Schizosaccharomyces pombe: one gene and its partners. Changing the gene in region 1 together with any one later gene gives a genetic interaction. Each region holds a gene or a part of one and is shown on either strand. Other genes may lie near its edges. The genes, in order: msa1, vht1, gos1 and dcr2.

Evidence for each region.
Region 2: mutations in msa1 (region 1) and vht1 together harm fitness less than expected from each alone (positive genetic interaction), as found in Schizosaccharomyces pombe (one large-scale study listed by BioGRID).
Region 3: mutations in msa1 (region 1) and gos1 together harm fitness more than expected from each alone (negative genetic interaction), as found in Schizosaccharomyces pombe (one large-scale study listed by BioGRID).
Region 4: mutations in msa1 (region 1) and dcr2 together harm fitness less than expected from each alone (positive genetic interaction), as found in Schizosaccharomyces pombe (one large-scale study listed by BioGRID).

The regions. Positions count from the first base shown.
Region 1 is NC_003424.3:2,317,927-2,327,223, forward strand, and holds msa1 (RNA-binding protein Msa1), read right to left. Parts: upstream 4,900-9,297; 5' UTR 2,314-4,899; coding exon 712-2,313; 3' UTR 566-711; downstream 1-565. Other genes in the region: mix17 (CHCH domain-containing protein), read right to left, coding at 6,719-7,237; SPOM_SPAC6C3.03C (uncharacterized protein), read right to left, coding at 8,406-8,708. UniProt on the Schizosaccharomyces pombe protein: Negative regulator of sexual differentiation. Acts by repressing the transcription of meiosis-inducing, ste11-regulated genes.
Region 2 is NC_003424.3:4,956,316-4,963,309, forward strand, and holds vht1 (plasma membrane vitamin H transmembrane transporter Vht1), read right to left. Parts: upstream 4,596-6,994; 5' UTR 4,486-4,595; coding exon 2,779-4,485; 3' UTR 2,383-2,778; downstream 1-2,382. Other genes in the region: SPOM_SPAC1B3.15C (vitamin H transporter), read right to left, coding at 1-1,401. UniProt on the Schizosaccharomyces pombe protein: Involved in uptake of biotin and desthiobiotin with the concomitant entry of protons.
Region 3 is NC_003424.3:777,964-785,010, reverse strand, and holds gos1 (SNARE protein Gos1), read right to left. Parts: upstream 3,651-7,047; 5' UTR 3,525-3,650; coding exon 2,976-3,524; 3' UTR 2,870-2,975; coding exon of another isoform or gene 2,675-2,869; 3' UTR 2,574-2,674; coding exon of another isoform or gene 2,307-2,573; 3' UTR 2,209-2,306; coding exon of another isoform or gene 1,867-2,208; 3' UTR 1,592-1,866; downstream 1-1,591. Other genes in the region: smp3 (alpha-1,2-mannosyltransferase), read left to right, coding at 1-336; atp10 (F1-F0 ATPase assembly protein), read left to right, coding at 1,867-2,208, 2,307-2,573, 2,675-2,869; SPOM_SPAC4G8.09 (leucine--tRNA (Leu) ligase), read right to left, coding at 3,855-6,479; SPOM_SPAC4G8.08 (mitochondrial iron ion transporter), read right to left, coding at 6,728-7,047. UniProt on the Schizosaccharomyces pombe protein: Nonessential SNARE involved in retrograde transport within the Golgi complex.
Region 4 is NC_003421.2:772,480-779,470, forward strand, and holds dcr2 (phosphoprotein phosphatase), read right to left. Parts: upstream 4,293-6,991; 5' UTR 4,092-4,292; coding exon 2,562-4,091; 3' UTR 2,311-2,561; downstream 1-2,310. Other genes in the region: tal1 (transaldolase), read left to right, coding at 1,019-1,987; Tf2-12 (retrotransposable element/transposon Tf2-type), read right to left, coding at 5,654-6,991.

The DNA of each region.
Region 1 (9,297 bases):
AAATTGGGAGATGTATAAAGAATCAGTATAGCAAGGAAACGTATACCCCGTATATAATAGTCCCTTGTAAACTTATGCTTGTCCTGTCTTTATAATTTTTTTCTTTTTCTGGTTCTTTACCTCACGAACCTTTTTTTGTATTTAGTGTCTATAAGGAATATTTATATGAAACTAGTGTTTTGAGAAAGTCTAAAGCTATGAAATAGAGGTCTGTTAAAAAAAAAACTAATTTTCTTTTTTCAGTTCGCCAGTAAGCCAAAATAAAAAGTTCACGTAATATTACAGCCTCAAATTAAAAATTTCATAAAATGAATTGACTTTATATAGTATTTTTGTAAAAATTTATGTAGTGAAAATAATCAAATGGTTAGAGTGTATACGATACATGTGTGAGAACATCTATATTTGGGAGCATATATAAATAAACTTCTATCTAATATCATTATATCGTTAATGCGTAAAGTAGAGAACTGTTACGAGTTACACTAATTCGTAAAATTATATAGAAGACATATATATGAACATAATAACATTTATGACTCTAAATCTTTTAAATATAATTGCAGCCAATTTGCATCTTTTAAGTAAAATAAATTAGATAATTATTAGTGTTTTATAGAATATGTACCTAATAAAAAAAACTCCGACACTTAAGGACTGTATAAAGAAGTGAAACCTCAATCAGATAATGAAGGGAAATTCAAAATAAATCTAATTCCCATCCATAGGTGGGTTATGCGTATAATACATCGGACTGTACGATTGAGGCATAGCCATTTCTGGAGAATAAATGGGATAGTACGACTGAGGAATTGATGTGGGAACGGCACCAGGAGGAAGGGTAGCCATTGACTGGTGAAATGTTGAAAACTGATCCATGGGTGCAGGGATTGGCATCATTGCATTACGAGGTGGTGAAAATGGCGCTGGAAACATCGGATATGGATAGGAGGGATATTGATATTGAGGGGAAAATTGCTGCATTGGTCTTAGTTGACGAAATTCAACACGCAAAGGCTTTTTCTGGTGTGGGGACCTCGTCTTACCGCAGACGGCAGCATAAGCGGCTTGTTGAGAATCAAACCTTAGAAAAGCAAAAGCAGGCTTCTTGCTTTGATGAATTATTTTACAATCGATTACCTTTCCATATTTGGAAAATAGATCAACTAGTAAGTAGTGTGTGCAATTTACTGGGTCGAGTTGGCCAACGAATATAGAATAAGGATCAATCGGTGGAGGCATTGCAGCAAACATCATAGAGGGGTTCATGGGATATCCAGGCTGTTCAAAAGAACCATCTGTTGGGAGTTCGGCCTTGCCGCTTTCTAAAGAGGGTATTGAAGGTAATATACTCGGTAAGGAGCTTAAAGATTCATTAGGAGTACTGAATTCAGTAGAATTGACCAATGAGTGAGCAAAGTATGAGGGACTTTGAACCGCGGAATTTGATCTTCCCATGGTAGAAGGAGGATCGGAAGAAACTGAGAATGGAATAGGGGCAGGTGCTTTGATAACAGGAGTGTTCGACTGATCTTTGCCTTGCGACTTTCGCCTTCGACTATGTGCGTTAGGTGGAGAAAACGGGGAGGAACCTTTCTTCTTATAGTGACCGTTTTGATATGTCACATTTTCCGCCCAAAGTACAGGCCAGGCAGAATGCTTAAGCGCGGTATAGGCTGCGATTGCTTCATCCCTGTAAACAAACCGTACTAAGAAAGCGGATTGATCTGGTATTTCCGTGACATCTTCAACCTCGCCATAAGGTTCCAATAAGTTATCTATGTCTTTTTTTGTAATGTAAGGTTGATGGGGTGCAGAGGATATACGGATTGTCCTATTAACTTTGGCGCGCTCTATACGTATATGACGGCCATCCAATATCGTGTTTTGGGCTTCAGAAAGTGCTTTCGATGCATCATCAGTATTTTGAAATTGAACAAAAGAATAAGGCCTTTGCAACCAATCTTTCAAAACTTTGACATGCAACAAAGGACCCCACTGTTGAAAGTAATCTTTAACAGTGGCAGTCAGCTCTTCCTCAGACCTTGAAGAGTTTAAGCTAGCAACAAATAAACAGGCAACTGGTTTTCCACGGACAGACGACGGATTTAATACTCCACTGGAAGAGGAACTTGGGATAGGGGTGCTTGATGATGCAGTTTCCAAAGGAGGCTTTATAAAGGTAGTGGAATTATCATTTTCGGATAAAGAACCTGGGGGAATGTCTTGTAAAAGCGTTGTTTTTTCGAGTTGGGCTGATAATTTTTCGACAGGAGAATGCAATAAAGATACAGACGGAGAGGAAACAACCATTTTTAAATAATGTGTTTAAAAAAAAAGTTTGGAATGAGAAAGGATCTATAAAGGGGCATGAAACAAGGATGCCGGATTGATATCAAATTAAAAAGACAAAACTTTATACGAGATGCCTGCGCCAAAGTGGGATGGAGGTCGTATCAGTCGATTATATGGAATACAATAGATAGTTATGAGATGATGTGTCAACAGCAATCCAAAAGCTGCGTAGAAAAAAGAATGAAAAGTATTTCAACTGAAAAAGTTAAAAGTTAATTAATTTAAAATTTCCTTCAAAACAAAGTTTAAAAAAAACCCCAGAGAAAAAATTTGGTCAAAAGAAAAGATAAATAAAATTGATCAAAGAAGGGATAGGAAAAAACGAATGGGAAAACTTTTACTCAGGTAATAAAATTGCAGAAATAGGGAAAGAAAAAAACGCAAGCGTATGGTAATTTAGTGCAAAAATGCAAAGATAAAATAGAGATTATACACGTATAAATAAGAAAGAAATGGAATGGCTCTTAAAAATGACGAGTCAAAAGAAAGAAAGAAAGAAAGGATGAAGATTTTGAGAAACCAGCTGAAACAGAAATGGAAAATGAAAAACCAAAACCAGAGATAGACAGTAGGTAAACCAAACGAGACTTTGCAGTCTAACAATAGTCTAAGGAAAGCCCAAAGAATAAATATATATTTGAGTGGGGGAAACGAGTATTTCCAGAATAAGAGTCAGATGATGAGAAAAGTAAAATGGGGAATAGAAATAGCTTGCACGGTGATCAGACCGTGAAAGAAATTTCACAAAGATGAAATTTCAGTTTTTGGGTGATGGATAGAGAGAACTCTTCTCAAGTGGAAGCTAAAAAATAATTGGATAAGCTTGAGGGAGTAGCAAGTTCGAATTGAAAAAGGTGAAAGAATCAAAGAGCAGTACAATTGCAGTTGAATATCTCGAAAAGCTGAACACAGAGAAAGTTTGAGGTGAAAAAGAAAACAAATAAAAATAAAGAAGCCAGTAAACGCAACAAAAGGTGCAAGAGGAGAGCGAAGGAAAGCTCAATGGCACAGACAGAATCAGATGAGAAGAGAAGGTAAACGCAGTCTCACTAGTATTTCAAGCAATGTGGAGGTATTCGATAGATAACAAAAGAAAAGGAAAAAAAGAAAAAATGGGTGATCAGAAATGCAACAAAACTGATAAAGACAGGATGGAAGACGGGGAGACGTCTCAGCAAAAAGGAAGCAACCCACACAAAGAGAAATTGAATTTAGTATGTTAATGGAGAAAGGAGAGAATCGAAAACCCTCGAATAGCAATTGATTTAGGTGAAAGCAAAGAAGGGGGTTATTCACGACGAAGGTTTAGATCTGCTCGGAATATACGAGGAAAAGACATTGTATATCAAGACTACTTGCAAACTCGGGGATTTCAACACGTGTTCTTCATCGGTAATGTAGGCGGCATAAAAGAGGACAAGGGACATTAGGGAGCAAAACCAGACGATATGATTAACTAAAGGAGCAATACATCCGAATCCTGCTTACACTCTAATAATTAGTCAAACGACCAAGACGCTGCCTCAAATCCTCAATCTTTTAGTAATTTTACCGTTCTATTTGGGCCATATCATTTTACTAAATTCTAGCCATTCTCCTTTACCACGATTGATAGGCAATTGTCCATTCGGAAGTATATCACTACTGCCAACATTTCCCTCTCCACAATGTCTTAGATAGTGGGTTACAGGGAGTATAAGGAACAAGCTAGTATTGACAAATGATGAGACATTGAGAATTGGGCACAGGGTAATGGGCTAAAAATTGGGTGCTGCACCGAAGCATCCTTTGGTTGTGAAGATAAGCAACTACAAATTTTAGGAGTAAGTTAACAACGGCCCCATGGAGATAGAAAAAGGAAGAATGCTAAAAGTCGTGAACAAAGGCGTAATCGTCAAAGAAAGGTAAATTGCAAGCACAATGAAAAAGATGATTTTTTACAATAGGATCCAATAAAGCGAAAAAAAAAACAAATAAATAACTAAAGAAAAATAAATTGAATTTTGATTAGTATACAAAAAAAAAATTAAGCACAATCTAGATGAGCAACAAAGAAAAAAAGGGAGACCTTTAAAAGAACAAGGTGAATATGTTATATTACTGTCTGGATTAATGACTGACAAAGACAGAATACGCAAGCTATAGCCAAGCTAAGAAACGAAAAAAAAAAGAAAAGAAAAAAACAAAACAAAACAAAGGTAGTTAGTTTGTCAAGCTATGAATAAACTATTTTCGTCGTATTTTCTTGAGCGTTCTATAGACTGTTTATTCAACAAAGCAAAGCAATAGTATAATACTAGTAGTAAAAGGAGTAACAATAGGAAAAGCCAGCTTAGCGTGTACCGAGGTTTTCTCAAAAAAAAAAAAAAAAAAAAAAAAAGGAATCGCTTGCTGAGATATCGAACTCTACCCCTTGAATCTAACATTCACATGACCTTTTGTTTCTTTGTTTGTCCCCATTTCTAGATGTGTTTTTACCTTGGAATAAAGTCTCGGTATTCTAACTCCGATTGCCTATCTCTAACACTTTGTAGTGGGATGTGCAGGGAGCAAGCTAAATGCACGCACTCTGATGGAGTGAGTTCTGGATAAGTGACAGCTGAGTATAACGATAAACATCGTCGTACAGTTTAGCTTCCCTTTGAAACAAAAATTTTAAGTATGTGTAATGGTGCTTATTTATCGAGGAAAAGGGTGAATCTATAATAAAGAATGGATCGTTGGAATGTAGAAAGTAGTCGATACTTGAAAGTGAAAACAGATGTTGAAAAAATTAGTCGATGTTTAAATGTTTAAAAATAATAATAATAATACTAATACTAATTTTAATTCTTGTATTTTGCTAGTTAAACTAGAAAACTGCCAACGAAATACAAGCATACATACATATCTATATCTATATCTATATATAGATATAGCTATGTTCCTTTCCAGACACCAGTAGACTCGGTCTATATCGCCAGCATTTCTTAGACTAGGATTAGAATGGGATAAAAATATGAAAAAGGGAATGCTGAGGAAGGATGAATAAGAGTCGTTATATGTTTTTCTTTACTGTTTACTTTTTCTTTTTTTCTTCTTCTTTTCTAGCTCGCCTTTGGCCCAAATTAAGCTCATTAACCTGATGCTGTCAGATATGACTTGACACTCTCTGTGATACTACATATGCAGACAATTTCTGGACGAAACATTAAATTTTCCGATCTTCAATCAACGTTCCGAAATGGTCTACAGAAAGAGTAACAACAAATTGTATGTAGCGTTGGATATGAAAATGCACTGCGTGGCATAGCATACAATACTCTTACAAATGCGCTTGGCAAAGACGATTCAATTTAAGATTGCTGTTATGCTTACAGTATAAACCAAAGCAGCAAGAATGGAATCCCCGTCCCGTAAATTTTTTTTTCTTGGTAATACGTTAAAAGTATAACTTGGCAGACATGTCGAAACCGATCATTTGTAAATCAGCTTCTCTTAACTATCTCTAGTGGATGCAATAGTATGTTAAACTAACAAACACGAGTACATTTGAAAGACTCATAAACCAAATTCGATGATGATCCTTTTGTTGATAAACCGTTTTATGGTGGATCTTTGGCGTATCCTATCCCTTACTCTTCTTTCAGATATGAAACAAAGTAAATAATAGCCGAGGCAACCATCTATAAATCATCATTGTTTAGCTGCTTCCCCCCCCTAACATGGGACGTAAGACAATGAAAGTTTAATTTGCTTTTAATTTTCGTTTTGAAAAAAGTTTGTTAGATATGGTTCGCTTCCAACCTTCCTACTTTAATAAACAAGTCGGAACTCCAGCTAGCATAAAATCTGTGGGAGAACTCTCAAAATGCTTTGAAGAGTGACTGTATCGATTGATTGATTGATTGATGGGGTGAACTAGGTAGCTGTATGAACTGAACCATCCCTACTATTAAGAGGTATGAAAACGTACGCATGTTAAGAGAAGCTCTAACTACATTACCATACTGTTATGTACTACTCTTCTCCAAGCCAGATCATAGAACTTTCTAAAGAGCATAGATTTCATTTAATTTATTTATCAAGCTTTCTAACTACGTTCTTCGTGAACTTTTTTATTACTGGGCCATTTTAAAAAAAAAGAACTTCATTACTAAACCAAACAAAAAAAATACCATATATGATTTATTTCTTCTCGTTCTTATACTATGTCTTATACCAGGGAAACCAGTTATTATTTACTGCTTAACAAATGCTATTAGGGTTCAACGTTCTCGTTAGTAGAAACATGAAAAAAAAAATTTCGATGCTGATGCTGATGCAAACAAACTGGGCATAACTTTTATTTAATAGAAAAATAAATAAATTAGTTCATTGCCTCTTATTGTTGGTTGGACCACATGGCCTGACAAGCCTTTAGCTGTTCCAAATAGTAAGAACATTGACTGAACTCATGCTCATTTATACAATCTGCAAACATTTTAGCATCGCCCTTGCAAGCATTCTTCGCCTCTTCAGAAATAGCACTGCTGGCAAAGGTGGATGGAGGTGCTGAACCATAAGCGGCTTCTGGAACACTGTTGCTGTAACTAGATTGAGGTACACTAGTATCAGCTGGAGCATTGTTGGAACCACTTCCAGAAAAACCGCCTGTTATGACGCTGCCAACCGTGTGTCCGATAGCACTTCCAATACCAACACCAGCCGCTGTACTAACCAGATTGCCGAAGAATCCAGGTGAGCTGCCTCCTTGGACGGCGGTGGGAGGAGGAGCCTGTTGCACACGACTAGGAGCAGGAGGAGGTGCCATTGTCCTAGGAGGTAAAGCAGCAGCAGTGGAAGCACTTCTGGCAGGAGCTGCACGGCGAGGAGGAGGTGCGGCAGAACGTCTACGAGGCATCGTACTTATTTATGTGAAGAGATGGAAATGGGCAAAGGAAGTAAGAGATAAACAAAAAAGGATTAAATTTTATGAAAACTCGTTTACGATATCTGCAAAGGAATACCGTCAATGAAAGGATAAACGATATACGAGTGTTTAAGAGGCAGATGGCGGAGAGCACGAATATATATAGCGTTGCTAGAAGAAGCTGAAGAAAATCGATGAATGGAGAGAATCGTTCCGACCAAACATCGTCTTCGCTATAGCGGATTGGAAGACATGAGGTACAACTTGGATATTTGCACCACTCAAGTCGTATAGACCAGATGCCCTTGGGGTAACAGTTACCTAACAATCCAAGCTGGTTTACTAATACAAATGGATGCACAAGTTTTCAATAAAGAAAGAAAATTGCAACTTCCATCACTTTCAAAACTTTTATTTATGATTTTATCTATCATTCTCAATAATCGTAAATTTTGGACACATGTATGCAAAGCAATTTGACTTTGTTTTTTTTTTTTACGTAAAGAAACTTTTTTAGCCAACATTATTTATAACGTAGTGGATAGAATCATGTTATTATTAATTAGACGGTATATATTCCAAAAAATAAAAATAAATAAATAAATAATAAATACGATAAGTAAGGGAATATATGAGAAACAATTATATAATTGATCAATTTAACCTAAATAGATACACATCATCGACTTGGTGAGTCAGAGTATAAATGAGATTATTGGAGTTTTGTTATGCTATTGTATAAAACTATGAAGCAGCTCCAGGTTCCACACTAGTGAAATAGCAAGATTGTGAAAAATCAGCTTATATAAATGTTTCAGTTGATTTCAAATGATGTTACTCTTAACTCGTTTTAAATAAATGGGTGTATGTGAAATAACGAAGCAATTTGGGAATGCAAAATCTAATATGTACGTATTAGTTGTTGATGGATCTCTTTATATTTTTATATGGAAACACTAGTAGTCATGGTTTTAATAGAAAAGCAGTCTAGAGAGATATGTTGGAATTCGATACTTTGCATCAAAGTGTTCTATTTATTTATTTATGTTGCGTCTGTCAAGTCAAAGCACTTGAAATGACTGTTGTTGTAAAAAAAAGGAATCCCGAAGAAAAATTATATGTTTTTGAATTAATTCATTTCTATATTTATTTTTAAGAGCTATTTTTGAGTTTTGAATCCTCTAGCCAAAAAGTAGTAACTACAGTCTACACGCTCTCTTACCTTGGCCGACGGGGTATGTACAATACCAACTCGAACGGTTCCCCACATGGTTCTCCAATGTGGGATACTTGGAATGGTATTCAGTAACGATCTAAAAGTCGCAATTCTAATATTCCACCCCCACTTTGTCTCATTGGGGTCCAAGTTTTTGGATGGGAATAAAAAGCGAAACGAGCTGTAACGCTTAGCGTTAGTGAAAATAGCGATTACCACTAGCAATCCTAAGAAAAAAACATCCATCTAAACTTCGTCAATAGCAATGGTTGAGCAGTTAGAAAAAGTTATCAAAAACTTTCTTACCTATAAAAATTATTTTCTTGTCGCTTGTCAACATCTCTATTCATTTATTCACTCCCGATACATGCATATGCATTGCCGTAACGCACATGCAAGAGATGAAGCTACTTCAGTCAACGTTCATTGAGTAAATATTTGCATAGCTAAGCAATTCTTTTCTGTATCTATTGTAGTACTATGTTTGACTGAGAAATCCGCTACCGCGGAAGTTCTCCTAAATTTTGATCTTTACTGATATCATTAGCTCGATCGATCGGAGCAACTACCCTTTTTTACCTGATCAAGACAAGCAAATTCTCGAAATTCGGCTTGTTATCTATTTAAAATTTCAAAAAAAAAAAAAAAAAAGAAAAAAAACTTATGAGAGATAAAATTTGTAGCACAAAGTATGGTAACCAAGAACCAAAGATGCGTTTATTGATAGTAACAGTAAATAGCACTTCACTTGCAAGGCCAACAATACAAGACACTATGGTAATGTAGATCAGTACGTTTTCAAAGCATAAAATGTACAAATTGTTTGTTGGTAGGA
Region 2 (6,994 bases), 2.6 Mb from region 1:
AATTGCATCAAATACCCAAATTGGGGCTACCAAAAGAGAAACTGTAACGCTTGAAAAATTTTCGTTAATTTCTGAGATGATAAGAGAACTATAATTGACAAGTCCATTGCTGATACCCACAACTCCGAAAAACATGAATATAGGAGGCCATAAACGAACATCCAAAAAAGCGTCAGCAAGATCCGTAAGTGTCCAGGATTTACCTACCTGCATCTCAGCCATATAAATGGCGTGCACTTCTTCCTCTTCAGGTGTAAGGCCGGTATTTTCCGAGGCCTTTAGAAAACCAAGGAACTTAGGAATGCGTATCCAAGAAATCCACTTTTCATTATGCTGATTGTGCTTTATGCATGGTAGCCATCGTGGAAGAAAAAGACCTTGTGTAAAAGCGACAACACCCCAAATTAAAAACATCCATTGGTACCCATATAAACCGTGTAAACCATCCATTTTCTGAAAAGCAGCAGAGAGCAAGCTAGTAGCGACCGACGAAATTTGAGCTGCCGTGTAATACCAACCAATTCGTTTTCCTAAATGTTGATCGCGATAAAACCTACTGGTATAAAAGGCAAAACCTGGCCACATACCTGCTATGGCCAGACCATTAAAAAATCTTAAAGCGATAAATCCTGAAGCAGAAGATCCTTTAGTTCCAAGAACAGCATGACAAGCACCAATAATACCAGTGGTTACTTGAATACGAGAGAGCCAAAGTCGAGGATCAGCACGGGTCATTAGTAGATTAGAAGGGAGATCGAAAATAATTAAGGAAACATAAGAAAGGCCCGTGCCAACAGATAGAGTATGATAATTCAATCCAGAAACAGTCTGCAGAAGAGAATGACCTTGATGTTTGTTCATGGTAAGAGATAGAGAAATAGAGTACGTTACACTTCTTGACAGGAAATACGTTATCCATAAGCAAGTAATAATCCTCAAGTCGAGTTTTCTTCGAATGCGAGAAAGGATTTTCTTTTCCTCCGAGCTGAAACGAGCAACATCGATGCTCTCGGGAAAAGGAGGCGTAGACAAAGAGACAGCAGTAATATCCTCAGAATCAGGATGTTTTTCATCTAACATGGACTTGTCAAGGTCGGAGGAGGAAGAAGAAGAAAAAGAAGAGGGTGAAGGAATGTGAGGAGAAACATTGTTATTTCGTAAAGAAGCTGAAGCTTTTGTAGCAATGTGGGTTTCGTCGAGGGGAGCGGCAGAAGAAATATTTGATGGACTTAACGGTTGTTGACTAATTATAATGGAGGAGGCATTTGACTCTTTTTCGATGTGAGATAACTCGGGATTCGAAGTGGTAGAGTTTTGAGAAGAGAAGGGTTTCACGGTCGGGAAAGAGGAAGCAATTGATGGAGAGATAGACGGCTTGGGAGGTAAGGTGTTTGTGTCCATGTTTTCAAATTCCAAGGCCAACAAAAAAGAAACAGTAAAGTGAGTTTTACGGAACAATAAATAGGAGAAATAGGAGAAACAGGAATGAAATAACTTTAGATTAAATAAATATTAACCAGACCAATAAAAAAAATATGAGCCACGTCTAAAAAATAAATCAAAACCGAACCGAATTAGATCCAAAAATAAATAATCAATGTAAAACAAAGTCTAGCGAACTTAGCATACACCACAGGCAAATTAACTAAGAATTGTCTCAAGCAGTAGAATTCATACAGACTACCAAAAGCACAATATTAATAAATAAGGGAAGATCTATAAAAAATCTCAATTGCACAAATCCTACGAGTAATGTTAAGCTAACTAACAATTAACTGGGAATGCTTCGACTTCCACTCCACAATGCAGTGTGAAAGCCTACTTCTTTTAAGTTATGGAGAGGAATGAAACTTTCTGCTTCACTTCAACTTATAAACGGAGTTTCGGCTCTGGATTAGTCATTCTTCAATCTAACGATTCATCATCATTTAGCTGAAATCGCAGTCATGATTAAGAGACAATTTACCCACGTCGTTCTACGCTAACATCCTGTTGGTTATTCAAATTGACGAGTGAATAAGCGCATTTTCGCTCCATTCCACAAAGTTGAAACAATGCAATTTTTCACATTTTCAATAAAACGTGGTAAGAAGACCCAATGAGCTAGTCACCCAAGTTCTCAGTCGGAGTCGTAAAATATGCAAAATTTTTTAGAATCCGGTCCTCGTAAAAAGCATCTTTATATTAACTTAAGAACTTGGATATGGGTACAGTGAGTAGTGAGTGAATCTTCAAAGATGCGATTGTGTATGGGAGCATATAAAATTGGTAGAGTTACAGTACAATGTAGTGATAGATAAATAACTAGAATAATGAGAAAGAAAAAAAATAAATAAATAAAGAGAGTAAAAGGGATTTAAATTGAAGGAAATGATATTTTTGAACCTGAAATAATGTGTTGTGTATATAGAAACTTAATAATAAAATGAATGCATTGAGGATACCACAAAGTAATTATTCCCAAAATAAAAGAAAAAGAATGATAAACAAACAACAAAAGAAAAAACTACGAAGAACGAGGATCGGTTGATTGTTTCAACTTGTAAAATTTCTCAAGACAAGAAACCCGGTCTCTCATAATCGACTTTTAAAATAATAGCGTGTTATCACAAAAAGCATCAACATTAAAATTTGTAGCAAAGAACAAACAATAGGAATATGGTTCTAAAAAAACGTAGATGAGACTTTTAATACGGAGGAAAGTGAAGAATATACGAACCCTAAGGATGGTCTTGTTCTTTGCTCCTTCGACATATCTATATTCGTTCTTGCATAAGGTCAAGCGTCAGCCTGTTGGGAAGAAGGAAGCGCGGGCTTAATATCGGTCATCTCTTGCTCGTCTTCCACCTCATGATCATGGTTGTTAAAACTAGCGTTGAATTGACCGAATCCAGTCTTATCCAGCAAAAATTCAATACCACACGCTATTATGGAGACACCGATCAATGCAATGCAGACATCATTACTTTTACGGAAGGTAGGATCACCAGGCCAGCCACTGTAAAGAGCATATGTCGTAACGACAGATCCCAAATTGCCCAAACCCGTCACGAGGGCCAAGCTGGAAGCCACGCCTACATCGCCATAGGTTTTGGCCATGGAGGCGGAGCACCAGGCCATACAAATGGGAACGGTTGGACCAAGACCAAATCCAATCATGAGTAAACCACCATAGCGTGACCAGGCACGAGGAGCGTAGTTAGCAACGGCAAGGCCGGCGATGATGATCAAACAGGATCCCGTGAAGAAGGAAAACTTCTTATGGAATCTGTCGTACAATGGCATAACAGTGACAATGCCCAAAGCGTCGGCAAGCCAAATAGGAGCATTCAACAACGAGATATCGATACCGGAAAAACTGGGGTTAATCTCTTCAATAATCAAAGTACAATAGTTGAAGATACCATTACCCACACCGACGATACCAAAGTACATGAGAATAAAAGGCCATACGCGGAGATCCAAGCAAGACTTTAGCAAATCAGACCATTGCCACCGCTTACCAACATTCATCTCTGCAATGTATCTAGAATGAAGGGATTTGTCGGCAGGCGTGAGGAAGCCAATTCTCTGAGGAGACAAAGTTTTCATCCATTTGGGTAAGGGAATAAACGAGCTAAGCGACTTTCTATGCTCCTTTGAAGCAACTGCCGGCAACCACCAGGGAATGGATAATGCTTGGGCAATAGCAACGACTCCCCAGATAAGGAACATCCACTGGTATCCATACAAGCCGCGAGCGCCATCCATCTTTTGGAAACCAGCTGAAACCAAACTGACGGCTGCTGCTGCAATTTGAGCAGCCGTATAATACCAACCAATACGTTTACCCAAGTGCTTGCCCCTATACCAACGGCTCATGTAGTAAGCCAAGCCGGGCCATAAGCCGGATTCAGCGACACCTAAGAAGAAACGTAAAGCGACATAACTTTGCGCATTACCATGTTTCGTTCCCAAAACTGCATGGCAAGCACCAACAACACCAATGGTGAGTTGGATACGAGACACCCAAATTCGGGGCTCGATAAATGCCATCATCAAGTTGGAGGGCACCTCAAAAATAATGTAGCCAACGTAAAACAACGCCAAACCCAAGGCGAGATAGTGAGCTGAGTAGCCAGAAAGTGTTTGAATAAGACTGTGGCCCTGAGCCGTATTCATGGTAAACGAAAGTGAGACAGTAAAACGAAGACAACAAGACAAAAAGTAAAGAATCCAAAGACATGGAATGATACGAAGGTCCATTTTCAATCTTAATTTCTGTAACCTTCGCAATTCGCTACTAGTAAATTCTTGCTCTTTTACCGTCGTTTCCGCACCATCGTTAAAAACATTGAGATCAGACGAATCGATTACTGTCGTCGAAAATTGATTCTTCAATGAGGGCTTTGAATCTGATACGCTTTCGACAATTTCAGGAATATTAAGTTTGGGATTCTCCTCAACTGAGGAGGCCCTCGATGTTTCAGGCCATTCTGAAGCCATTATTTTGAAATTTTCGGGAATGACAGATGGATATCGAGACAGTGATGGCTTTCCAATACTTTTCTAAATGTGGTGGATTTTAACCAACACAACCCCGTTCACTTCAGCACGAAGAATTGAAAATTAGAAAAACGGCGCATATATATACTAATGAAGGGCGTCAATATTGCTACCTGGCCAACTTACTTTAATTGCAATGAAGATTGCGACAAATATTAAAATACAAAAAAACCCGTCACTATTCTTTATGAAATTTCGCAACGGCCAGGTCTCGTCAAATCACGGTATCTTAGATTGTGAAAGTTAGCGAAATGAAGGATAAGAAATAAATATCGCTTAGATCGTGGGAAATATATGGAAGCAGAGGCGTCTAAACTTTTGAATAAACTTCGCTCAGAAATAGAAATAGATCGAATTCTATAGTAGTATTAAGATTTAATGAAGATGTTTTTAAAACGGGTAGTCGAAACGTTGAGCGATTGTTCATTCAAACGTACACCAGCAACAGGTATTCTATATACTAATATAAAGATTTTTGGATCTTTCAAATATTTTCTTTAAGAATAATTATAATATTATGAAGGTATATGATGTCGTTTTTCTCTCTAATATTATTTTTGTCGACAATATAGATCTCTTATTTTGTTTTAATTATGTAGAGCTGTTACATAAATCACTGATTATCATTCACTATAATTCTTTTCTCAAATACCTAGCCTTCAAATGTGCCTAATATTTTTCCTTTGCATTCTTCGGCATCATTGCAAACTAGTTCTCCAGCCGGTCGACTTTTTTTGATAGCCGCCCATATTAGTTTTCTTCCACGATCATATCTCTTCATGGAATACCGTGATACATCTACGTGTGTGTTTGAACAAGCCGCTAATCAAATGCTTCAAAGTATAATGTGTTGGTACGCTAGTGCGGATTGAAAATCTAGACAGATCCGGAAAGATCAATTCCATTAAACAATACCGCTCTATCTTTCATTAATTTCCAAAATAAAAGTATTTTTAACAACAATGAGGTAGTAAGATAGCATAAAAAAGAAATTTCTATTTAGGAATCAATTGCTTTAGCCATTCATCTTAACGATCTTCAATGTGGAACATACTCCAAAATTTAGAATTCGTTTACGATTCAAAGTTGTTACTCGTTATTGTTTTAGTTCATGTCGATGAAAATAGTAAGTATCCGAACGATTTAGCTTGTTGATCGTAATAAGATTAAATTTAGTAGGATATAATTTGAACGGCAATATCATTTCTTCATTACGAAAGTTACTACACGATTCAACATGTCATAGGTTCATAAATCACTTTACCCAACAAACTCATACTTCTCATTGAAATTATTTTCGTTCATTATTAATCTTTAGTGGATTCAGCAAGGGATAGCTGATGAATTGGAGATAAATGATATATCCAATTTGCTATTGGCGAAGATATCAATTCACCAAGTAGCGTTGGTTTTCTCGATAATAAGAGTACGAAGGTTAAGTATGAGAGCAGTGCTCTTTTTTCAGCAAATTCCCTGTTTAATTAATACATTTAAGCAAATTTTTTATCTTTTAAACCCGTTCATTTACAGTTTCATTTCTTAATTTTTGCCCCTTTTTTTTTCGTTTACTGCTTTTGCCAGTTCTGTTATTTCAATGTCATGCTTGTTTTGCATGTTCTTTTTTGCAAATCACCCCTACAATGAATTTTTGAATAGAGCAACGATGTTAGATCTGTTGCATCCATCCTGGCGTGAGAATGAGAAAATATTGCTCGTTTCGAATGTGCTTGCAAAAATAACAGAAATCGTAGGGAGCATCTCGGATGAATTCAAAAGATCACTAATGAAACCTTGTGGATTTTTTTTAGCGATCAGCGATTAGTAAACTTTGTGGGAATCGCCAGTTTCGTCAAAAACTACTAAATGTTAAAAGAGTGTATGGAAAAAAATTTCACTGTTGGAAAAACTAACGGGATTATGCTTAAAACGATGAGAAAAATGCAATACCCACACTTGACTTGTAAACTCATTCATTGCAATATACGTTTGCTTATTTGTTGGTGCCTGGAAAACAAAAGAGAAATTAATAACCTAAATTTAAAAAATAAAATAGAAAAAGGAACGTTACATAATACAGATGACTAGTTTTCTGTGTAAAAACAATAAAATAAAAAATAATGGTAATTAATAAATAATACAATTTTGGATATTGATCGTCATTCTAGTTACTATTTGGAATAGGAATAAAAATAAAAAAGAAAATTTTTATTTGAAGAAATAATCTAACTGTCAGTATCTAGCGATTTATAATTTATATCTAATCATGGTTTAGTACAGTTTTTTTCACATAGTAATAAAGGATTGGTAATATTTAAGCAGTGATAATAACTATTTATTTAATTGTTCGATGTTTTATTTGCAAAAACTTTACGTATCGTAAATATTAAAAATTGATTTGTGTTGTATTTTAAGCAGCCCAATTGACTCACAAATTTTAAAGATCGTATAA
Region 3 (7,047 bases), 1.5 Mb from region 1:
CTTTATAACTACTCCACAAAACAAATGATATCAAAATTTTGGGAGACTTACTATGAAGAGGTTAAAGTCGTCAATTTGCCTGAAGAAAACACAACCGAGTTTCAAGCATCCACTTTATTAGTGTGTCCTGTTGCTATGCTACAAACAAGCAGTTATCTTCAAAATTTGACTATGCTGCATTACATCCCTTATCACGTTGATTTAGATGACACTGATGAGTTACCCCTAGCAGAATTGATTATGAATCATGGAATTGGAATTTTCACCGCTAAGGAGATTTGTGAGAATAACACTATTACTAATGAGTTACCAACGGTATTGAGAAGTGTGGGATAGCAACATAAAAAAATCATTTTGCCTCGTTGTGTACTCTTAAGATTGAGATTCGCTCGTCATGCTACATTTTAATACTGCAGCAATTGCGATTAGAAGTTACCGTTTTCTTGAAATGTTTCGTATCCTTATTGTTAATCCTTCTTTATTGTTTTAAGGGTCAGAAAGTTCAATACTTAACTTTTATTAAGTAAACTGATCTAATTGTTAAATTCATTGGCATTTGTTTAATTTTTTTTCTAATATATTTGGGTTTTAATTTTAATTTATTTATGAAAAGCTGAGAGAATATTTAGTTCACTAAATCTTTCGCGGTTATTTAATCGCGAAGCTTGCATTCGTTCGATGAATGATGATTAATTGTTATATGTTGATTCTATTGATCATATTGTTGTCTATTTTCTTCAGCACAACACTGTTAATCGCCTGTTCCGATCCGATCTATGACAAAACTTAGCTGATTGAGTCTTCAACTTGTCATATTCAATTCTAACCAATTTTGTTAATAATAAAATAGTACTGACTCATCCCGATATGTTCAATGTGCTTATATCATACATAACATAACGTATTAACACAGATTGGGAGCCATTTGAATTCGTTTTACGCAAACAACGACTATATTAGCTTACATACGCCAATATACTAATACTAGTTCAACGATTTATTTGTTGACGGAGAATTATTGCGCACTTAGTTATTTTTTTGTATCACTAACTACTTTAGTAGGTTCACTTTCATAAGTGGTCAACCCCCCCACATAGTACTTGAGGTAGTAGACGAAGTCATAATTGCTATTCAAGTGAGTAATGTCTTAAAGAGAATATGGACCCCCCATTAGTACTTTCTAACCCACTTGGAAATTGAAATTGCTTTGATTTTTAAGCATTATGAATTAATATAATATTAATGCGTATTAGCTTATATAAACGATTACTAAATTATATTCTCATAGTTTTTCATGCATCTACATAAACAGTCGGCAGGGACGTAAAAAGCTACTCTTTTAACTATGATTTTGTATTGTAGTACATTAAGAAGGGTAAGTAAGGTCTTTATATTGTAATCTCTACGCCCTGGTTGACAGCTGTTTTAATAAGCTAGAATTTTTCGCTAAATGAGTTTGCTTTAAACATTGAATTAATTAGAAAGGTTTGTATTGTTCATTATCTCAGCATTCCATTTCCTATCCTTACATGCACGTTCAATGTAAGTTGAAAAGATAGTATTCAATGAAAGATTCGCAATCCAATGAAAAGCCAATTTTAGTCTTGAATTATATTACAATGAAATTAAAAGGAGAAAACCTTTATCGTAGATATATACTAATGTCCAAAAACAAATTAAAAAACCAAAATGAAAATTAAGATATGAATTTTTAACGTCAGAGTACTTCCACCTGTAACAACAGCTCCTTTCTGCTATACCTATCTATTGAAGTTTATAATAATAATTAAGTTCATCCTTGCGTTTCTTAAATCGCATAATAAATTAAAGATTATTTCCCCTTTAATCTACCTATAATTGGTAAACATGGCATATAATTATTTAAAAAATTTAGTCATTCCGAGGTTGATTGTTAAGCATCAGTTCAAGTTGCGTTCTTTTAGCACCAAAAGTCTCAATGATACAAAAGAAAAAGCCCCATCTGCTCTCATTCCAGTAGGTTTACTGGTAAAACCGACGATGCTTTCTGAAGTCCAAAAGCCAACATTATGGGAAAAACTTACCAAACCCGCGAGTACATCTTCTCCTGAGCAAAGACAGAAGGAGCTGCTGAATGAAATGAAGAGATCAACTATTCAAGATTTCAACGAAGTTCGTCGATTTAATGGTAAGCTGTTTTACAGTCCTCCAAGATTATTTAAGGAGAAGGTATGAACAATTGGTTAAAAGTAATATTCATTTCTGGAAATTTCAAATAAGAATGAAAAAAAATTAGTTTATTGCTTAAAAATATTGACACGTTTTAGAGCGCCTTATGGATGTACAACTTTCATGGGAAGTCATTACGAAATCAGTACAAAGAGCTATATAAAGATTGGCAAGGCTCGCCCTTTTTCTTTGCATTATTTAGCAACGCGTTTGGAGAAAACCAATGTAGGAATTGGATTCAACATCTAGCTCCATTTGATTATCTGCCAGTTCGTTATGCAAATGTTCAATCCAATCTAATAAAATATTGGCTACAGAAGATATTTATAGGAAAAGTTAAAAGATCAATACCAGAAAAGTGCTGGGTAAGTAGACGCATTATTTGTCCAAGCTGCTCACAAGTTTGTTCGCTTGATAAGATAGATTTATTTACTTCCAAAATTTATAACCTTTTGCTAACTAGCAGAATGAATATATTACAGCATACGACAATAAGTTCAGTTTCCCAGAAATAGGATGGAACAACAAACTTGTTGGAAATGTGTATTTAATTGACGATTCCTGCAAAATTCGCTGGCTTGGAACCGGTGATCCAACTAATGTCGAAATTGAAAACCTGAAGACAGCGATTAAGTTTTTGGTAAATAAAAACGTTGGTTAAAAGTAAAAGGACTTTTATATTATTTCATCTTAATTAAACCTTTATGACATATTCATAACTTTGGCGGGATCAATGCCCTTCATAAACGTTTCATAAAACATGCAACTTAATGAAAAAAAAGGAACAAAAGCATCAAGACAGATATGAGTAAAGCTAAAATGATAGAATCACGTCTTCGACGGATCGAGGTTTTCCTTAATATTTGATTAATAAAAGGGATTGACATGGCCGCCCCGTTTATGCGATTGGTCACATTTCCTAAGACGCTATTTTGGTAATCAAAGTCTTCCCTCGTAGCATAAGCTCTTTCAAGAAGCTCATTAGTGCCTCTAATAGAATTGTCTAAAGAGTTTGCCTCTTGCATTTCTAAAAAGTTTTGTGCATCTCGTAATTCTTCAGGAGATAGAACTTCCTGTTTCGCATCATATTTTTTCAAAACGCCATTAAGAAGTTGCTCATCTCGTTTTAGTCTTTCAAAATGTGATTTGATAGTAGCCATTGAATGCGAGTCATTTTCGTCAGCTGAAGAGTTGGCTTCTTCAAGAAGCTTCCTTCTTTCCTCTAGCAGAATTTTAGCTTGGTTAGGATCACTGTGCAACGATCTTTGGAACTGAGACGCTTTTTTCACCGAATCTCTCAAAAGCATAGACTTCATGGCTAAAGAGATCTTCAAATTTTTATAAGAGAAAAATTAGTAGCTTAAGTTATGATTTTAAAACAAACGTTTCTCTTCTGTTGATTAATGTGGCTTTCAGATGACGTTCTTACTAGTATGTAGTTTAGAGAAGTATCCCACTACGTAGAGATTCCTAAATATACCAGTGATAGAAAAGCTATGCTACTAGAAAACATTGTGATATTAAGATAGGATATTTTTCATTCAAAATGAATTTTAAGCATTAAATTAACTACGCAACCAACATTGCATTGTTATGGTAAATATCAAAATTATTTTGAAACATGAAGCTCGTGTCTCAACCAACTTTCAGTCGGTGACTAAACTGATGATTTTTTGTTTCACAAAAGATTTTAAAACTTTTTTATTAGAGAGCCAACGTTTCCCATCATTCGTCTCAAGCACAAAATTTAGTATTTCATTTTCATCATTGAGTTTGGGCATTTCAATCTTAAATCTCACCTTACCATTAATTTGGACAGGAATAGTAACGGGCTCCTCCATATTCTCCTTTTTATTTTTGGAAATGGGCCAGTTAGAGTAAACGGAAGAATTATGTCCTAGCAGCAACCAACACTCACTTGAAAAACAAGGTATTATTGGAGCAATACATTTCACAAGCACTTCCAAAGATGCTTTAATTGTTCCGATATTGACTTTGTTATTTTTTAAAGCATCTGCTATATTATTAGTCAATTTCATGGCGTCAGAAATTACTAAATTGAGAGAAAATACATTTTCATAATGAGCAGAACATTGTGAAATAAATTCATTATATTGTGATTCGAGTTTCCTGCTATTGTGATCGTCGACAATAGTTAACTTCGTTTGTCTCATCGCATCAGACATTTTTTTCTCACGTTCCAATAACTGATGAACACAATTCCATATTTTGGTTAACCACCGTTTTGTTCCCATTATTGCATTTTCATTCCAAAGGAGTACGCCTTCCACTGGAGCTGAAAATATTATGTAAGCTCTAATAATGTCTGAGCCATATTTTTGAATAGTACGTATCGGATCTACACCGTTATGCTTGCTTTTGCTCATTTTCTGGTAAGAAAGTTGAACTTTCTCTTTAGGATTACTGATTAGAAAATATTCGTCTCCAATTTTCTGGACTTCTTTTGGATTAAGTATTCGTTCATCCGACATCGTTGTATAAGTAAGACCATGAACCATCCCCTGAGTAATTAGTTGAGTAAATGGTTCATTTAAATATTTATCACCATTCCATAACCCAATATCCTTCATGAATTTTGAAAAAAACCTGGAATATAGAAGATGAAGTATTGAATGCTCAACGCCACCAATATAAATATCAACAGGCATCAAAGAGGACGCACTTGCTAAACCTACAGGAAGCTCCGAGTTTTTAGAATCCAAAAAACGAAAATAATACCATGATGAGTCTACAAATGTGTCCATAGTATCAGTTTCTCTTGTTGCTGGGCCATGACATTTCGGACAGGTTGTTTTCATCCATGTTTCTAGATTTGATAACGGCGAAGTACCTTTTTCATATATTTTATCAAGATCAGGCAACTTTACAGGAAGTTCAGATTCAGGGACTGGGACAGCACCACAGGTTTCGCAGTGAACCATTGGTATAGGAGTACCCCAAAATCTTTGTCTTGATATAAGCCAATCTTTGAGTCTATAATTTTTAACACGTTTGGCTAATTTCTTCTCTTCAAGGTAACTGACAATCTTTTGCTGAAGCATTTTTTGCTTGATATCCATTAAATTCGAAGAATCATGATGATTCAAAAGTTCTTTTCCCTCATTTGTAAAATATGAACCTATACAACTTTCTTTAGAAAATATTATGTTATTACGCTTAGCAAACTCAAAATCTCGGCGGTCGTGAATAGGTGCGCCCATAACGGCGCCAGTACCATAACAGTCCAAAACGTAAGGAGCATAAAATATTGGTAAAGCTTTGCCAGTTACTGGATTTTTTGCAAAGCACGGGAGCTGATATCCTTTGTCTAGTAAGGATTCATTGCGAAGATGTTCTGCCAACGAAGGATCCTTTTGGGATTCTAGTAAAACAAGTTTATGGTTTTTTGAAAGAGCTATAAAACTAACATCTATTATTGTTTCAGGTTTAGTAGTGAAAACTGTAAGAGTTTCTTTATCGTTTAGCAAAGGAAAAGATATTTCAAAACCCGTAGTTCGACCAATCCAATTGCGCTGCATCTTCTTTACTTTGTCAGGCCATTTTGGTAATGTTTCAAGGTCATCGAGCAGCTGATCTGAATAGTCTGAAATTTTTAGAAACCATTGTCGAAGATTTTTCTTTTCTACTATGGCACCGCTCCTCCAGGACCTCCCATGTGAATCAACTTGCTCGTTGGCAAGGACTGTGCAATCAACTGGATCCCAGTTTACAGTGGCCTCTGCTTGGTACGCCAATCCCTTATGAAACATTTGAAGGAAAAGATATTGTGACCATTTGTAATAATCTGGATTACAGGTTGAAATCTCTCGGTCCCAATCAAAATAAATATTCATATGGTAAGTTTGTTCTTTCATTTTTTTTATGTTCTCATACGTCCAAGAACTAGCTGATATCCCGTTCTCAATTGCAGCATTTTCAGCTGGTAAACCAAATGCATCCCAACCCATTGGATGAATGACTTTGTATCCTTTCATCCGATAATATCTCGATAGGATATCGGAAATAGTGTACACCCTAACATGTCCGATATGTAGTAAACCACTTGGATAAGGGAACATACTTAGTATATACTTCTTCTTTCCTTTGTCATTTTTGACGAACGGATAATGGGATTTCCAATATGACTTCCAATTTTCAGCAATTGCCAAGAAATCTGGATTGCTGTGTATGTTTTTATTAAATTTTAAAAAGTTGCATAACGAAGCTATTTTAGGTACTTTCCGACCATTAGTACCGACGGATTTCAACATTTCATGAAACGCAGTGGAAACAATGTCTTTAAACTCTTAAATATTTTAAACAGGTATCATTAAATCAATAAATACTTTAAATTATATTCATTTACCAAAATGTTTATCCAACGTTGGTGTTGTGTTTTTAGCGAATGCTACGATGGATGTTCTAATAAGAAACTAAACTTAAACGAGACGAAGGTTATTTCACGGTATAACAAAAATAAGGCATGCCATATGAAAAAAAAACATAGAAAAGGAATTTTTTAGTCGATGTCTTTACTTTTGAAAGATTCAAATACAGACATAGAGATCATGCCTGATGGCATAATATAACACATTCGCGTAAAAAGCCCACGAGTAAAGCCTTTAACTCCATGTTTTGAGAACAGAAGTTTGGCTATTTCCAAAATCCCCAGTTCCTTTTCAGCTTGGAGGCCGTATTCAGCTTTACGCATAGCTGATGAAGTAGCCACTTGGTATCGAGTTTTAACAATGTCAAGAGGGGTTGAGATAGTAGTAGCTACAACAGTACCTAAAGCTGAACATATTGGAGCAATTACTGAGATATCCCAATTGGATTGCT
Region 4 (6,991 bases), on another chromosome or scaffold:
GTGATTAAAGTAATAATAAGTAATGAAAGTCAAATAAAAGGCCTTACGATTATCTGCTCGTCAACTATGGGTATACAGGTGTATCTCACACTATGCTTGAAGATTTCGCTGACGATTATATAGACAATGTCCATAAACAGGTTAAAACCAAGCCTTTTTAATTACGAACTTGACCATTTCTGAAGACTGTAGATACCTTAGAAGCTAATCTCATTTGTATTACTGTAAGAGGCAATTCGAATCGACAAGAGTGTAGGTAGAAGAGTATACCTATCCAAAGAGTATCAGATGCTTTTACCAATTTAAGAGTTTTCCATGGATATGTATTCAATTTTAGGTCCAACTATTTAACACTTGTGCGAACATCGATCATGTCCGATGCAGCAACTTGCTGCTGTCATGTCGCTCAAACCAAACAAAAGAAATGTGCCAATTAACAAAATATTTCCAATACTATACTTGTAACGTTCTAGCATTAATACATACCTTAAGGCACTACTTGCAATCAGCCCAGTCATGTCAATCTCTTCAATATCTTGTTCGGGATCCCGCTTGCGACCAGCGCATTATTTTTCTTAGATTACTGACATTATATATTTCAATTTGGAACAAAAAAACAATCTGATTTCGACCATTTTTTAAAATTTTTCTTTTTCATAAATTTTTTCGACTTTTCCTATACTTTCGATGGTGAAGAATGCATTGAGCACAGTCTGCAGCTTCCATTTTTTTCTTCTGAAATTTTATAGTAAAATCGAAAGTTTTTCATCTGCTTAAGCAATCAATTAAATCTAGACAAACATTGCTAAGTTCTCCGCAAATTCAAAGAAACTTTGGCTGACGTACCTAAAATGCTTAAGTGGAAGTTTCCACGCTACACACAACTTAACCAGAACCTATATCCTTAGGAACACCAAGAAACTCAGAAAAGGTATGTTTGTAGTGTTTTTTAGGAAAAACGAAGTTATTTGTCTGGAAAAAGTATTTACTAACGAGTTTTTGAGGTAGTTTTATCAAAATGTCTTCATTGGAACAATTAAAGGCCACTGGCACTGTTGTCGTCTCCGATACTGGAGATTTTGAATCGATCGCCAAATACAAACCCCAAGATGCCACCACAAACCCTTCTCTCATCTTGGCCGCTTCTAAGAAGCCCCAATATGCTGCTCTCGTCGACGCTGCTGTTGACTATGCCAAGGCAAAGGGTGGTTCCATCAACTCTCAAATTGAGATTGCTTTTGATCGTCTTTTGATCGAATTCGGTACCAAGATCCTCGCTATCGTCCCTGGCCGTGTCTCCACCGAAGTTGATGCTCGTTACTCTTTTGACACCCAAACTACTATCGAGAAGGCTCGTCACCTCATCAAGTTGTACGAAGCCGAGGGCATTGGTCGTGAGCGTGTTCTCATCAAGATTGCCTCCACCTATGAGGGTATCCAAGCTGCTAAGCAACTCGAGGAAGAGGGCATCCACTGCAACTTGACTCTCTTGTTCTCTTTTGTCCAAGCTGTTGCTTGCGCCGAGGCTAACGTTACCTTGATTTCTCCTTTCGTCGGTCGTATTCTCGATTTCTACAAGGCTAAGAATAACCGTGACTATACCGCTCAAGAAGACCCCGGTGTCGTCAGTGTCTCTAACATCTTCAACTACTACAAAAAATTCGGTTACAAGACCATTGTCATGGGTGCTTCTTTCCGTAACGTCGGTGAGATCAAGGAACTCGCTGGTGTTGACTTTTTGACCATCTCCCCCGCCCTTCTTGAGCAGCTCAACAACAGCACCGACGCTGTCCCCAAGAAGCTTGATGCCTCCAAGGCTTCCAGCCTCAATTTGGAGAAGGTTTCCTACCTTACTGATGAGCCCAAGTTCCGTTTCGACTTTAACAACGACGAAATGGCTGTAGTCAAGTTGTCCACTGGTATCGCTGCCTTTGCCAAGGATGCTGATACTCTTCGTACCATCTTGAAGGCTAAGCTTGAGGCCTAAATATTTTAGCTGCAACCAGTTAGGTATACCGATTTCTTTCATTTTGTTAGGAGTTTTTTAGCTTACTTTTTTTTACCCTTTTTACTGCTAGCATTCCGTATGTTGAGGTTTCCAGATTATGATTTTAAGGATGTTATGGCAGTCTTTTTTAACAAAACACAAAAAATAAATCGTACTTGCGAGCTATAAGTGTGACTAAGCCTTTAGGTTTGACGATTGTTATATAAATGAATATATATATTTTGTATATATGTATTGCGTATGTGGATGGACATATTTACTTGTATTTTGGAATAAAATATATGATGGATCTCAACTGCAAATGGTAGAATGTGGAATTAATTATTAGCAAACACATTTCAAAACTATTTAAGTATGTAATTGGAAGAGCGTAAAAATTTCGTTAATATTAATTAGTATATTACTTCCGTAACATAAGAAATTCACTTTGAAAAGAAGGATCCCATAAAATTGGGATGAAGATTGAATAGAAAATAAAAATATCGTAAAGATAGAAGAAAAAGAAAATTATATCCTGCTGTGAAATAAGTTATATAATGAGAGGAGTGATTGTTTAAACTAAAATAGTTTGTACGTCCAGCATCAACTTACGGTCTTCAGGAGGCCATTCCAAGCGTTTCCAAGTACGAACTGCGCGCTCAACCGGGTCCAACTCAAAAACCCTTGCACGACGAACGTAGCCACCATGTCCTCCATATCCGCCAAACCCAGCACCTCCAGCAAAGCAAAAGTATGTGTTATAATCTGGATGGATTCCACAGAAATCATTTACATGGTCATGTCCTGCAATAGCAAGAGGAATACGTAAACTTTTCAAAGCTTTCGCAGTATTTGGATCACAAATGGAATAAGAACAGGGCTCTCGAAATGCACCAACAAGGTCTTCAGTCTCGCAAAACTCCTTCAGAGGGATATGCAATACAGCCATTTGAATGGGCTCGTACTTGAAATCCGCAACTTTACTAGAAAGCCACTCCAGTTGATCCTCGGTAATAGCATCGTATCCAGGGCATAATCTTCGATTTGAAGTATCTCCCTTTGTATCTAAAACGTAAATGGCAAACTTTCGGGGACTATGTAAAACAAAGTTACCAACACCAGAGACATTTCCAATCAAACCCATACTACCAGGAATCTGACTCAAAATTTTGGCAAGCTCTTCCCTCGATAAATCTCCCAAATCATCGTGATTTCCGAAATTTACAGCAAATGGGACGTTGTAATCAACAAAAGGGGACACCGCTTTCATCAAAGAGCTTCTAGCGTCGCGTGACGTGTCGCCGTTAATTAAGTCCCCAGTCAAAAGGACAAAGTCCGGTTCCTCTAACTGTAATAATTCATTCACGAAAGCAGTAGTTTTTGCATCGGCCATACAATCCTCTGCAGTCTCATACGGATAAGGATCGCGACACGGTCTGTCAGAATTTGAATAGTGCAAATCAGAAAGCTGAAGAATCTTAATTGTCTTTTTTTCTTCGTCATCATAAGTAAGGGTTACGGATGAAAGCTCCTTTCTCTTAAGCGCTTCAATAGATGGCGTCGGAGGAGTTTCACAAGGTCTTTGCGTCAATAGGACCGGCTGTCCTAAATAAATAAAGTCATTTAGAACAGCAGACCAACCCTCTCGTAATTCAACAACATCCTCACCCAACAATGTATTAAATTCGCAAATATCACCATCCGTTCCATAACGAATTTGAATACCGTGCTTGTTACGCTTTTCCAGCTGTCGATCAACATATACCTGTTCAACTAAGACAGTCTCCCCAGGAATATACAGTGCTGGTCGTTTCACGTAAAGGTAGGCACGCTTCCAAGGAATTCGGGAACGGTACAGATTCCGACTAGTACGGGCCCATTTCCAAAATTCCAAAACGGGACGACAAAAGGGAGAAAAGGAAAAGCACTCGACCAGCCTTATATCTTCGATTGGAGTGTTCAGTGAGAAGGGTCCCGACTTTGAGTCAGTGATTTCAATGGTGTTGAGCGAATAATCAACAGTCAATAATGCTATGAAAGCCGCAACTATGAAGATTGCCCTTTTACGAAGGAAATGAATAATGTTTCTCTTTGGTAGCATCATTTTGCTTAGTCTTTGAACACGAGATTAGTAATTGTAGGAATGTATTTTTAACCGAAAAACGTCCCGCGAGAACTTTTTCTTTTACGGATCAAATATTTGACAAAGAAAAGCAATATTTATATAACAAATGTGCTTCAAATTAAAAGTTTTTATGAAAAACCTGTAGAATTGACTGAATTCATGAAAGCAAAAGGATTATGTGGATATTACGGTAATGTTTACATGGTAGAAGAAGGCTTTTCAAATTAAGATTCGAATGCGGAGCACAAGAACGAATCCGTTATCTATGCCTAGCGTAGTGCAGAATACTCACTTAAGAATCGCTTTCAAGAAACTTGCTTATCATAATACTTGAAGTTGGAAAGAGCTCGGTATGTGAAGAGATGAGCTTAACGTAGTTTAGCAGGTTCTCAGTTATTCTGAATGTCTATTAAAATTCAGCATTATAGCGACTTTTCTTGTGAGTGAAAACAAACGTTAAAGCTAGATGGCATTTCGGAAGAAGAAAATTGCATGGATAAGCTCTCAGATACTCATTGACATTAATATTTTCATCTCACTTATTTTTTAATTTCTAGCGGTGAGTGTTTATATGAGAGGTACGGCAGCTCTCAAAATCTTAACAACCATTTTGGATTATATTTTAAGCTCTAACTTTTTGTTAAGTATTATTTTCTGAGAAATTCTGCTTCATACTGTAGTGGTACGAGAAAACTCGCAAATGAAAACGAATATTTCAAGGTACTATAAATCTCGCTTAATTCAAGCTTAATTTGGCCGACATTTCACATGTTGTGGCCCATGAAACATGTGTCAATAGTTGTATAACTGTGTAAGGGTACTATTGCGTTAGTTTCTTACCTGATCTGAAAAGTTTTAAGCTGCCAGCAAGTCGATATATATAGAGGGTTTTGCGGATCTTGTTTTTTTCCGGCATAATTATTGTGCCGAACCACTAAGCCGAACCAAAGAGTAATTATCATAACGCAAACTCTTTCAAAATAAAGAACCCATTTATTCTTCAACTCAAAGTTCAAGCAGAATACCTTGAAGCTTGATAATTAACAAATTTCCAAGCTGAGACTCATTCTTCGTTTAACTAATCTCACATGATGTTTTCCTCATTATTTTGGTTTTGCATATTTTTTTGAAAACTCATTAAGTGTAAGCTACGCAGTTTGGTATCTGATTTAAGGATACGTAGAACTGCGGTGAGTTTTCCTTGTGATCTATTATATTACGATACACAGGTTGTATAAGTAGCAACTGAGTATAGGTATTGTATTAACTGGGTTATAATGTTACCTATCACTAATATAGCTCATAACTGAACTGAGGAACGAGGTTCAGCAGTAGCTCTATTTATAGTATTCAGATAATATTGATCTTAATAGATTATCATTAAGATCAATCTCCATATCGTATCATACATGGTACGATATATAATTAGAACATGTGACATATAGTGATACTCAACGTAGTGTATTATAGCGTAGTGTAGTATTGCTGACATTGCCCTCCCCAAGATTTTCTATGTAAATCTGAGGATAAGTCATATGTTCTCAGATATTTAGATTATTGTTTTTAATATAATCATTGACAATTGCTTTGTCCGCTTGTAGCGCTGTAGCTAATGTAGTCCATCCTGACATAATAGTACTCGGATTTAGATTCGAAATGTACTTGACATTTAAGTAGAGTACTTGTTCTCTGTTTTTATGTTCTAGGATATGAAGAATTGTTCCAATATCAGACTCATCAATGGTAGCGTAATTGAGTTCTGAATTATGTCGATACTTTTCTAGGTGAGAAACATGAAAAGTAGATGAAAACATGTGCTTGATTGAATCTGGAAGATCCAATTCATAGTTGTTTGGACCCGACTTCTGTAACACATAGAACGGTCCTGCAAAACTAGGTGCTAATTTATTGGATTTATGAAGAAAACCTGTTTTCGTTCTTTTGACCATAACTAGGTCTCCAGGTTGAAATTCTTCAATTTCTTGTATTTTCATATCGAAATACTTTTTCATCTTTATGTTGTTTGTATTCAAGTGTTCTTTAACTGTTTGAAATACTTGGATCGTTTCCTGAGAGTTTTCGTCAGTTTTGTCACTAAAGCTAGGTAACTCTAAAGGTGATAAAGCTGGTGAATAGCGATGTACTATCTCAAAAGGTGTCATTTGAGTTGCTGAATGTATCGCATTGTTGTAAGATTGTTGCACTAGGGATATATGATCTACCCATGTATTTGGATGTGTGCTACATACACATCTTAGTAATTTCTCCACAGTTTGGTTTGTACGCTCAGTTTGTCCATCAGTTTGTGGTCTGTATGGTAACGAAAATTTCATAACGAAATTATATTTATGTGCGAAATCTTTCCACGTTTGGGAAGTAAAAATATGATCATTATCTGCAATGATTTCTTTTGGATTGCCGAAATAAGCAATAACTCGTTGATCAAACATTCGAGCTGTTTGCTCTGCTGTAATGGATTTCGTACAAGGTACTAAGATTGCCATTTTTGAAAATCGGTCAACTACCACGAAAAGTGCATTATAACCAGATGATTCTGGTAAAGCTGTAATAAAATCCATTGATAAAGATTCCCAAGGTCTTTCTGATGGGGGAATTGGTTGTAAAGGTCCATAAGGTTTATGATTCCTAGATTTGTTTATTTGACATGTATGGCAGTTCTGTACATATTCTTGTATTTGTTTTCTTATTCCTTTCCACGTAAATCTACGTAATATAATGTTTGTAAGAAGTTCAATGCCTGGATGAATCAATTTACCTTCTTCATGATACTTTTTAATAATTGTCCTAGTCAGCTGAGTATCATTAGGTAATAAGATTTGGTCTTTACTGTTAATTAGTAAGCCATCTTTGAGTTGGAT